3 linked regions of the Caenorhabditis elegans genome follow. The protein of the gene in region 3 purifies or fractionates together with the protein of the main gene of each other region. This does not show direct contact. Each region holds a gene or a part of one and is shown on either strand. Other genes may lie near its edges.

Region 1 (3,664 bases), on a different chromosome or scaffold from region 3:
TTCAGTGACAATGTTGGACACATGAGAATGTGGCTTTTCAATTTTGAAAGCGAATATTGTGTTCGAAAATTTTTTAATTGATTTATTTTCTATTTTTGCTGAGCGACACATTACGGGAATTTTTTTTTTTCAAAAAACAGCTTCACAAATGAGGAAAATATTAATGTTATTAATTAATTTTAATTGAATAAAAATTTGTTTCTATTTTTTTGAATTCTAAAATTTTTTAAAACATGTGCAAAATGTGCATTTTTGATAACCTCCATCCAACAGAATGCATCCGATTTGCCACCCAAGTTCACATGCTTTCCTTGTCGTACGCCGTTCTGCAATATTTTTCAAACATTCAAGAATACTTTTCTCGAAATTACACTCGAATATGATTTCAGGATGCGAACTTTTTTGTCTGATAATACATTCTTGCCTGCCTACCTAGGTATCCTTTGTGCCTGTTTCACTTCGGCTAAATAGGCGGTTTTTGTCTTATAAGCTATCTGCGCAGACACCGTATTTAGCGCGGAAACATGATTGCTAATTGCTGATGTGTGCCCGGAAAAAAAGCAATTAAAACAAAGAAGAATTTTCCTCAATCATTCATTCATTTAAACACACAGACTTCAACTGATTTATCTCATTTGGTTGGTTGGTTGGATGGTGGTGACAGTTTGCAGAGCTTATCCTCGACGCATGGACTTCGGAGTTGGCTTGTACATGACGAAAGTGCAGACCATGTTCTCATCGACCTAAAATATTCGATTTTTCACAAAGAAGTTGTAATAAAGAATCTCACCTTCATTGTTGCAGCCGAATTGTCAAACTGTCCGCAGTAGTGAGGTGCCGAGAAAATGGTGACCATCTTCTTGGAGGCAAAGAACTCGTAGCCGTCTTGAACGACTTGATGTGCACGAGCAACCAAGTCGATGTCAAGTCTCGAGCAAACGTCAGCAACAACATCCTGTCCAAAGACATAAGAGACTCCACGAGTATTTGCCTGCCATCCCTTCACCCATTGATCAGGGTCAGCCCACAACAAGTCGATTCCGATCGATGGATTTGGTGGATCCTGGGGGCGTGGCAGTTGGCGAAGTTGATCAAGAGTTTGAAGATGTGGGGACAGACCACCATGCATGCAAAGGATGCGGGAACCAATGAGTCCACAGAGAGGCATCCAGTTGAAAGTGTCCTGAAATTTGGAGAATTAGGGAGTTGTTTCATTCTTCGCAGCGAAGTGATAATCCGCTACAGAAAGGGGACAAAGTTCGACAAAGTGTCTGCTCTCCTTACCTGGAAGATTGACCAGAGACGAGTCGACTTGTAACGACGGTTGCACTCCTCGTAGAACCCATAAACACGGTTGATGGCTGGGCACTCGTGGTTTCCACGAAGCATGAAGAAGTTCTCTGGATACTTGATCTTGAAACATAACATCAAACAGATCGTCTCGATATTCTGTCTTCCACGATCCACATAGTCTCCAAGGAACAGGAAATTGACATCAGGCGGGAATCCGTTCTTGTCAAAGATGCGCAAGAGATCCGAGTACTGTCCGTGGATATCTCCGCACACGATGATCGGCGGCTCAACCTCCAGGAGTGATGCTTGGGAGGCGAATACCGATTTGGCCACAGCACAGCAAGTCTGGAGTTCCTGCTCGTTGACAGAAGTTGTCAGTCTTCCACCGGACATGCCGACATTGAGCAAACGGCTCATCAAGTTATCGACATCCATTGGCGCTGTCATTATTGTTCTTCTTTACTGAAAAATTATTGATTTATTGGTTGTCAACAAGAATGATGCATCGGAGGGCTTCCACATAGGTAACAAAACGCCTGCCGCGGCGGCCGTGCGGCGACGGCAGGTTTTGAAACAGTGCCTGCCTCCCATGGAAGCCCGATGACCTAGTACACCGATTGAATGCATCACATTTCGCATCGATACCACAAAACATACCTTTGGTAGGCCCGGAGCGATGATCCAAAGTTGTCGTCCGTCGCAAGAATCGTACAATGATTGAATTCTTCAATTCTCAACCACACGTTGACTTTTATCAGCACGTGCAATCTTTTGGTAATTTTTTTTCGCGAGGTCAATTACACGCAAAATTGTTTTGATAATTTTGTTTTTTAGTTTTTCGGACTTCCAATTAAAGGAAATCGGACTTAAAAATAAGACGTTTGCCATTAGAACGCTTATTTTTAAACTAGGACTTCTAGACAAAATGTTTGCTGCGGAACTCAACTCTGATCCCCTGAAAACGCGGGCTGAATAGTTTCCTGGAAGCTTTTTGAAAAATTGTTAAAAATCTAAAAAAAAATTCATCCAACTCGATCAAAAATAATTCCAAATTCAAATAAAAGTCAGGAAGTTTGCCTATTAATAGTAATATTACTAAGAACATTTAAAATCATCGAAAACTTGCGAAAAAACTTTTTTAAAAGTTAATTTTTCGCAAAAACGCAGAAAATAGGCGTTAAGCAAAAGGATAAGTAGATATAAAGGTGTGCCTGCCTACCTTTTAGGTATTGAAATTATCTAACAAATGTACCATTAGAAACAATTGGGTTGGTTAAATAATTGAATTTGTACTTTTTGGGATCTTTAGTGCCTGGGAAGATTTTTCCAAATCGATTTTATCTCCTTTCTTAAAAAAAAAAGAAATCACATTTAAAACGTGAAGATTTCTGGTTATTTAAATTTAAAAAAAAACTAAAGCTATTCTCTGTTCCAAATTTATTTCCAATCAAACATGAGCCTCCACTTTGTGCTCTTTCACAGTTCTCTTAACTATTGTAAGTTCTACTGTTTCCCGCTTAAAATCCCATTGATTTTCCAGTGTATCTAGCTGCAATTGCAAGTTTAACTGCAATTCTAATATCAATTGGATGTACATCTGGACACCGGGAAAATCAACGACACAAGGATCGGAGTGATATGGAGAGCAAATGGAGTTTGAAGAGCTTCAAAAGTAAGAAGAAGCTGAGAAAAGTGAATGGTGATAAGATTAAAAAGAGCAAGAAGAGTAAGAAGAGTAAGAGAAAGGAGGTAACAGTAGATAAAGAGGATAATGAAGATGAGAAGAAAGATGAAAATCTGGAGAAGAAGTTGAAGAAGGATGATGGAAGCTCGCGGGAAAAAGTGGAAGACCAGGAACAGTCTAGGAAAATTGATAGGTAGGATAGGATCAGAACCACGTAAAATTACAAGGCTGCAAATGCACGAATAAACCCAATTGAAAGTGAAAAATACATGAGAATAAGAGAAAAATGAGTTTTCTTTGTACACTTCCCGCAGTTCTTATATTTCACAGTTGATTCGCATAACTCGACCGTTTGTAATTTTCACATTGTGAGCGTTTGCAGTCTCAGTGTGAGCATTATGTCTGATTTATTTTTTGGCAATTGTGCTGAAAATAATTTCAATCGAACAATTAAATCAAGTTCATTTTTGGACCTAATTTTGAAGTAAAGCTGTATTTTTTCAGAAGTATCAAAGATCGTAACCCCAAAAGTTTGGAACAAAAAAGTCATCAGAAAAATGTTGGTGAAGGATCAAAGCGTACTAGTAGCTCTAGAAAGCCAGAAGAACCAGAACGTAGCAGAAGAGATGATAGAAATCGTTTAAGAAGTGAAAAAACAGCCCAGGGCAGTTCGAAAAGCCTTCGGAA
Region 2 (3,627 bases), on a different chromosome or scaffold from region 3:
TTATCGATATATCTATTCCCAATGGAAGCAATGGAGTCGGCCATTTGGAAGATTTGTTCTCGAGCCGAAATGTGTATAATAGAGAGGAGCAAGAGTAGTGACCGGTTTGAAAGGAAGAGTGTCAGCTGTTATAAGAGATGTGTAATAGGATCAGTCGTTTAGAGTTTCGCAGACGAGAAAAGACACCTTTGAAGTGAAAACGTCATTTGGAAAAAGGCTGAAAATTTTCTTCCGGTGAACTTGTTGTCTGGAAACTCGAGAAATGAACTTCCGGTCCGATGCTAAAAAACAACAAAATCAAAGATTCAAGAATTTTCAGATTAATCTCTCCCAAGAGTTCCTGGCGTTGCTCAGGCTCGGCAGCTCAGGCAGAGAGGCAAGCATTAAACGTTTTCCGACAATTTTTTCAAAGATTTTCTGCGAAATGATGCAATGATTGCAGAGTAATACAGGTAGCCAAGACAAGCAGGCAGGATTTTATGCATGCTAGGAATAGTCATGATCTTTCCAAGCAGATACTAGGAATTTGTATATATGTATTTATGACTGGTGCGATCGGAACAAAATAGTAAAAAATAGTAGCTCTTTCAATAATTATTCATTCTTTCAAACACATAATTTGAGTAAACACCGTTTTCATTTTTCTCTTTTGGTTGGTTGGTTGGTGGTGGCAATCTATCGATCCTATCCTTTACGAAGAGACTTCGGAGTTGGCTTGTACATGACGAAAGTACAGACCATGTTCTCATCGACCTATAATATTCAATTTTCACAGAGAAGTTATAATAAAGAATCTCACCTTCATTGTTGCAGCCGAATTGTCAAACTGTCCGCAGTAGTGAGGCGCCGAGAAAATGGTGACCATCTTCTTGGAGGCGAAGAACTCGTAGCCGTCTTGAACGACTTGATGTGCACGAGCAACCAAGTCGATGTCAAGTCTCGAGCAAACGTCAGCAACAACATCCTGTCCAAAGACATAAGAGACTCCACGAGTATTTGCCTGCCATCCCTTCACCCATTGATCCGGATCAGCCCACAACAAGTCGATTCCAATCGATGGATTTGGTGGATCCTGAGGGCGAGGAAGTTGACGGAGTTGATCAAGAGTTTGGAGGTGTGGGGAGAGGCCACCATGCATGCAGAGGATGCGGGAACCAATGAGTCCACAGAGAGGCATCCAGTTGAACGTGTCCTGTAAATGGGGAATTGAGAGATTTGTTTCATTATTACGCAGCGAAGTAAGTTGACAAAATGCTTTCTGCTCCCCTTACCTGGAAGATTGACCAGAGACGAGTCGACTTGTAACGACGGTTGCACTCCTCGTAGAACCCATAGACACGATTGATGGCTGGGCACTCGTGGTTTCCACGAAGCATGAAGAAGTTCTCCGGATACTTGATCTTGAAGCAGAACATCAAACAGATTGTCTCAATATTCTGTCTTCCACGATCCACATAATCTCCCAGGAACAAAAAATTGATATCCGGTGGGAATCCATTCTTGTCAAAGATGCGCAAAAGGTCCGAGTACTGTCCGTGGATGTCTCCGCACACGATGATCGGCGGCTCAACCTCCAGGAGTGATGCTTGGGAGGCGAACACCGACTTGGCCACAGCGCAGCACGTCTGGAGTTCCTGCTCGTTGACAGAAGTTGTCAGTCTTCCACCGGACATGCCGACATTGAGCAAACGGCTCATCAAGTTATCGACATCGATTGTCGCTGTCATTATTGTTCTTCTTTACTGAAAAATTGTTGGCTTTATTGGCTGTGAGCTAGCGCGGAAAGTATGATGAATAGCCGGCAAGTGGGCTAAAAGCTGGTGAAAGCTTGGCCGATTTGGGGAGTAAGATGCATCGACGAAATGCATCACATTTCGCAACGAAACCCTGAAACATACCTTTGGTAGGGGCGGAGCGATGGTCCAAAGTTGTCACTCGTGTCCGTCGCAAGAATCGTAATGATTGAATTCTTCAATTTTCAACCACACATTGACTTTTATCAACACGTACAATCTTTTGTTAATTTTTTTTCGTAAGGTCAATTACACGTGCAATTTTCTGGTAATTTTGCGTTTTTCCGTTTGCCAATAAATAAAATTTGAAACCACTTGAATTCTTGATTTATTTACACTGAATTCAAAAACATGGGGAAATGTACACAGAAAACGAGAAGAAAATGCAGAAAAGAAGAGAATCATTTGGAAAAATGTTTGTGGAAATAAGAACAGTTTTGCACAATTTACAATTATTATAATTACTATTATTATTGACACCTGACTGCACGGAGGGAAATTGTCGAATTGTATGGACAGCTGGACTTTGACTGTCGGGTCTTGCGGACTGGCTCATTGAGCAACGCCAGGAATTCTTGGGAGAGATCAATCTGAAAGTTCTTGATTTTTTAATAGAAATTATCAAATTTAGAGCCTTACCTCATCATGTGGCAGGCTGCAATGGAAATGTTGAAGATTTGGAGTAGTGTGATGGAATTCATCGACGTGGCACAACAGAACTCTCTTCATTTCTTCCTCGGTCACAGCTTTCAGGGAGTTTCCGAATTCGATGGTTAGGCTCTCGAGGAAGCGTCTTCTCGAGTGAGGGAGTGCTGCTTGGTAGGCTTTTTGGAGAGCTAGGTTTGCGTCGTACTTGCTCGCAATTTCCAGGGTAACATTGCTGATGGTATGATCTGGAATATTCTAGGGATGAAGGTGAATTTGTAGGTAGGCGTCCTCCTGTCTGCCTACCGTCACTTGCTACTATTGTTTTTTTTTTAAACTAAAAACTTACGGTTAAGGTAATCATGGAACATGATGTACATGAACGAGTGATTCTGACCATGCCTCGTTTGCTCACTGGGCTTTGGCTCCGCGGGCTGATGGTAGGTCAATCGCATCGATGACGTGGCAATGTTCAAATCGGCATACACGTGTTGCTCATCGGAGGTCGACAACTCGAGGTGACGGAGTGATGAACTATGTCGGCTGACCAAATCAAAGCATCTCTGAAAATGATTATATTTTTAGATTGTGGGTAAGCGTTTGATTCCTATACATCACATAAAATTTTCAGAAAACTCACCTTCTCAAGATTTTTCATCTTCTGCACACACTTATCGGCACCAGCCAGCACGTTAATCTTGAGAGAACGGAGAGTGAATGCTGAAATTCAAGAATTTGAATTCATATTTCGGAAAATTTTGCAGCATCAACTCACAAGCTCTTTTTATGGTTTGGAACAGCTGGGACGTGGATTTTCCAGGGCAAATGTTGAGCTCCAGTTTTTCGATACACGTTCCGTACTTGATCACATCTTCCCAGTCACAACCGGTCAAATTGAGATTGGTGACACGGGAATCCTTGTTGATGAAGTACACAGAATAGTCTGAACAATCGAATTTGAGATTTCAAGAACTCATAAAATGCCTGACTGCCACAAATTTTTGAATTATTACTTTTTTTAGCGAAACTTTGATTTTCTTTCTCTCTATCTCTTGAGCAAAAACTATATTGGATAAAATTTAGAATTTTGGTAAGTTTTCAAAAAAGTTTTTATTGTCTTGTCTTTTTAATTTGCAAGATGGTGATGAGACCCAAAAAAGACATCAAATTGTTATTAAATTTTAAAGAC
Region 3 (3,871 bases):
CTTTTCTCTGAACTTCAGGATGATTTCCCAGAAGATGTATTGCCCACATTAGTCCTGTAGATGTTGTATCGTGGCCTTCAAACATGAATGTGTCAACTTCTGCCTGAACATCTGTTTCGTCCATTTGTCCACTTTTCACCATTTCGAGAAGAAGATCTAAAAATGCGAGACGACCTTCCATCTTATAATCATTCTCCTGTAGCGCTTCTTTTCTCTCGACAATTACTTTCTTCGTGAAATCATGTAGAATACGAAGACATTTTTCATGCGTTCGTCCGTCTTCTGTTCTGAAAAATAAAATTGAATTGACCTTTTTAATGATAAAACTATCGTACAAATTGTAAATAAACGAATTCCACATTAACGGATTATTTGTTCGCTTTGAGATCAGCTTGTTGATTGTGTGCACCGCCCATACATACTCGTTATTCTGAAAAAAAAACGTTTAGAAATGTTGCGATTGAAGAATTTCTCGAACCTCCGCGAGTTGAGCACCGATAGCTTTGCCCATGGAAGTTTCACAAATGATATCAAGAGTGCACAAGGTTATAACGGAGAGAACATCAACTTCTTCCCTGAAAATGAATATTTGAAAGCGTTATAAATTGAAATTCTCACTCTGCTCCGAGGGAACACATTTTCTGAACCAAAATCTTTGATTGCTCGTTGAAAATCGGCAAAAAATCCTTCAGAATATCATAATGGAAGGTGGGTGTCAAGAGTTTTCGCTTTGGACGCCATTGTTCCTTCTGGCTTGTCAAAATACTGATTCCAAGCCATGGCTCAAGCAAAACGTATGCGAAACCTTTGTTCAGATGTTTCGTCGACGAGAAAATTGGTTCCACGAGATCGGCGGAGTAGAGCATCAGGCAAGGGAACGGACCAATCCACAAAAGACACATACGTGGATCTGGATATAAATATCCCATTCCAATTACTTGGTTCATGAATCCCTCTGGATCTGGCTTGGTGACCAGTCCGTGACCGACGATTGGATATGAACGTGGTTGATTGAGATGCTGAAAATTTATTTAAATTATCTTCAAATGAATTTTGAAATCAAACCTTCAAAGCTTGACGCATTCTCAAGTGTTTGTAGAGAAGCCAAGCGATTATCGTCGCCGAAGCGAGAAGTACAGCGGGGATGATAACCCCCATTGCAAAACCTTCTGAAATAATTTATTTGAGCGAAAAAAACGAGCAAAAAGCGTTGAAAACTTGAGGAAAATTGTTTGTTAAGCTTTGGTTTTGAAAATCGCAAAAAAAAAAGTTTTTGAACGAACATTCAAATTTCAGACAAGTCGTGGTGAGACCCATGTGAAAATCGTCATGCGTCTTTAAAGAGTACGGTAGTCTTGAGAAAGTTCTCGAACGAATTTTTGTCGTTTTCTGATATTTCAATCTTGATTTAAATAATTATTAAAAACTTTTAATTACCATTATTTTTTCAACAAAAAAATGAAGAAAACAAAAAAACAAATCCAAAACTATTTTTCAATGAATATTGTACTTTTTATGAATGCTTCGTCTATTTGACCTATTTGACGTATTTGATCCCCCCGTCGAAAAACCAGCGCAACTATTTCATATAGGCTCAACGAATTTTTGATCGTGAATCTTCTTCTTCTTTGCTGACACTCACAAAAACTGATGAAGTTTTTTAAAAAATGGTTTTATCGATAAATTATTATTAATCTGCCAATCACTTCAGTACATTTACTTTTTTTTTAGTTTTCTCTTTCATTTTTGCTTCAAATTTTTTATAAAATTTTAAATCAACGTTTTTCAGAATGTCAGCTCCATCTCGCACCGTCCTTCGCGATTTGACGGCGACCAGATACGTCGCCAACTACGCCGAAGAAGATCGCTTGGAAACCGCTCGAGCCGGTTGCTCTTCCCTCCCACCACAACCCAACATCAATCATGATGTAATTATCGAAGGGCACGGAGAAGATGTGGAGCTCGTCGAAGATGAGAACTACTGTTCCGTTCATCGTATCGATGAGACTCCAAAGCTCGTCGACAAGAAACCGAGCAAGACAATCATCCGCGATGAAGCTGTCAAAGTGCTCCGGCACATTCAGACTGTGCCGATTGAAAATCTTCGTCTTAAGCGCTACGACTATTTCTCGCAAAGATGGTTCCACACGACCAGAGAATCGGAGAAAGCGCTTGTCGAGCACGTGTTTCTTCATCCCAACCAACGACCACATTATTTTGCCGCTCAGTGCCGGAAGCTGTCGGTCGAGGATATCTCTAGTTTGATTCTGGTTAGTTTCTTGGCCATATTTTTGATAAAGCATAAATCTCATTTCAGACTTCTCTCCTGACCGAACCGAAGGAAACGGGACAAAATGTGGCTCGATTTGCTATCCAGACAACCAATGAAATGTCGTTCCAAACGTTATTTGCATTGCTCGAACAACTAGAGAAGGAAAACGAAAGGTTCCAAATGACAGATAGCTTTGTGGTTGCAACCCTGATCCGATCACAGACGAAGAGAGTAAGTAAATCGGTTTTATATTACACACAAATAACTTTTCATGTTTCAGACTATCACTCGTCTCCTGAGAACCACACACTGCCGGGAATACGGAAATCTCGAGCCAGGACTCGATTCACAAGGCCGGCTGATGACTTCGACTGCATCAATCACGTGTTCAATTCGAGGAAAGCGCCACGTGGAAACGAGGATCGTGTACAAGAACAACTCGAGCACCAGGGATCCTTTCCGAAGAAATAGAGTGAGTTGTATAGCAATAATTCTATCGATTTCCAATTTATAACATTTTCAGTACATCGAATTGGAGCAAACGGTGAAGTGCATGAACCGGCGAGTGCTGATTGTCGAAGAGCCAGTCGAAATCCACGAATTCGAGGTCGAAAAGGATATGATCTCGCTGGAAAACGGAATTGCGCCAGTCGACGACCTGATCTCGTTTCTCGAAACATTCGAACTGGATGAAGAGGACGAGTAACTCCATATATGTCCTATAATTAGTAGTAATGTGCATAAGTCTGTATTATTGTATATGTATTTAAATAACCGAGTGGTTCCTGTTGAATATTCCAACTAACTTCCCCTATTTTATTTTCCTTTTTTGTTTTAGTTGTTTTATGTATATAGATTCTCCAATGCCCAAATTGTGACAACCCACGACTATTTTGTTTATATTCGACATGTATATTGCCCGCATTTATTTTGATTTTTTTTCAAAGATGAATTTGTTTGAGGTATAATTTTACAATGCATTACTGCTCTGATTGATTGATTAGAATATGAATTTCAACTATTCCCGGCTTTTCACTGGTAAATTACTCCATATACGTTATTTTCCCACCGCAACAACCTGGCCTTTTCATTGCCTCATTCACAGCATACGACTTGTAATGTCTGCACTCTCCCCGTCTCATCACGTAATCAGGTCTCTCTCGATTCTTCCCGTTTAAATATATATCTGCTCTATTGCACCTCTTCATTTCCTTGTTCAGGAAAATAGCATAATTTCAAAATGCCTCGGAAGAAGAACGATGTGCAAATCACCGAGGAAATGAAGAAGAAAACCGCCGAAGAGGTTATCAAAAAGGTGAGTTTTATTTATTTATTTATTCCTAGTTTTGAAATTAATTTTCCAGCTGCCAACAGTGAAATCGAAGCAAGACGCTATCAACGAGAATCTGCAAAAACTTCAAGAATTCCGAGATAATGAGCCGAACCCCTATGGAAAGGGTAAAGTGGGTTTTTTTAAACAATTTTTATAACTAATTTTTGCGAAATCCAATCATTAAAAATTCAATATAAATACAGTAGTCTGTTTAAAGGGGCACGTGGTTGTACGGCTGGGTCTCGCCACGATTTTAAAGTTTTCTT

What was found.
Region 1: the proteins of memi-1 (region 3) and gsp-3 purify together in Caenorhabditis elegans (affinity purification with western blotting, with the first as the bait; one study listed by BioGRID). This does not show direct contact.
Region 2: the proteins of memi-1 (region 3) and gsp-4 purify together in Caenorhabditis elegans (affinity purification with western blotting, with the first as the bait; one study listed by BioGRID). This does not show direct contact.

The regions. Positions count from the first base shown.
Region 1 is NC_003279.8:4,708,682-4,712,345, forward strand, and holds gsp-3 (Serine/threonine-protein phosphatase PP1-gamma), read right to left. Parts: upstream 2,032-3,664; 5' UTR 1,951-2,031; intron 1,756-1,950; 5' UTR 1,741-1,755; coding exon 1,285-1,740; intron 1,184-1,284; coding exon 791-1,183; intron 744-790; coding exon 675-743; 3' UTR 578-674; downstream 1-577. Other genes in the region: W09C3.3 (Methyltransferase FkbM domain-containing protein), read left to right, coding at 1-81; W09C3.2 (uncharacterized protein), read left to right, coding at 2,747-2,789, 2,834-3,170, 3,482-3,664.
Region 2 is NC_003279.8:3,837,705-3,841,331, forward strand, and holds gsp-4 (Serine/threonine-protein phosphatase PP1-delta), read right to left. Parts: upstream 1,970-3,627; 5' UTR 1,899-1,969; intron 1,743-1,898; 5' UTR 1,728-1,742; coding exon 1,272-1,727; intron 1,193-1,271; coding exon 800-1,192; intron 754-799; coding exon 685-753; 3' UTR 586-684; downstream 1-585. Other genes in the region: F53F10.1 (Coiled-coil domain-containing protein 102A), read right to left, coding at 1-44; T03F1.6 (F-box domain-containing protein), read right to left, coding at 2,264-2,392, 2,433-2,686, 2,788-3,001, 3,079-3,158, 3,214-3,381. UniProt on the Caenorhabditis elegans protein: Probable phosphatase which plays a redundant role with gsp-4 in spermatogenesis by regulating sister chromatid segregation during meiosis.
Region 3 is NC_003282.8:4,758,347-4,762,217, reverse strand, and holds memi-1 (MEiosis-to-MItosis transition associated), read left to right. Parts: upstream 1-1,789; 5' UTR 1,790-1,790; coding exon 1,791-2,270; intron 2,271-2,317; coding exon 2,318-2,503; intron 2,504-2,552; coding exon 2,553-2,744; intron 2,745-2,795; coding exon 2,796-2,978; 3' UTR 2,979-3,236; downstream 3,237-3,871. Other genes in the region: cyp-31A3 (CYtochrome P450 family), read right to left, coding at 1-287, 336-430, 479-575, 619-1,019, 1,066-1,158.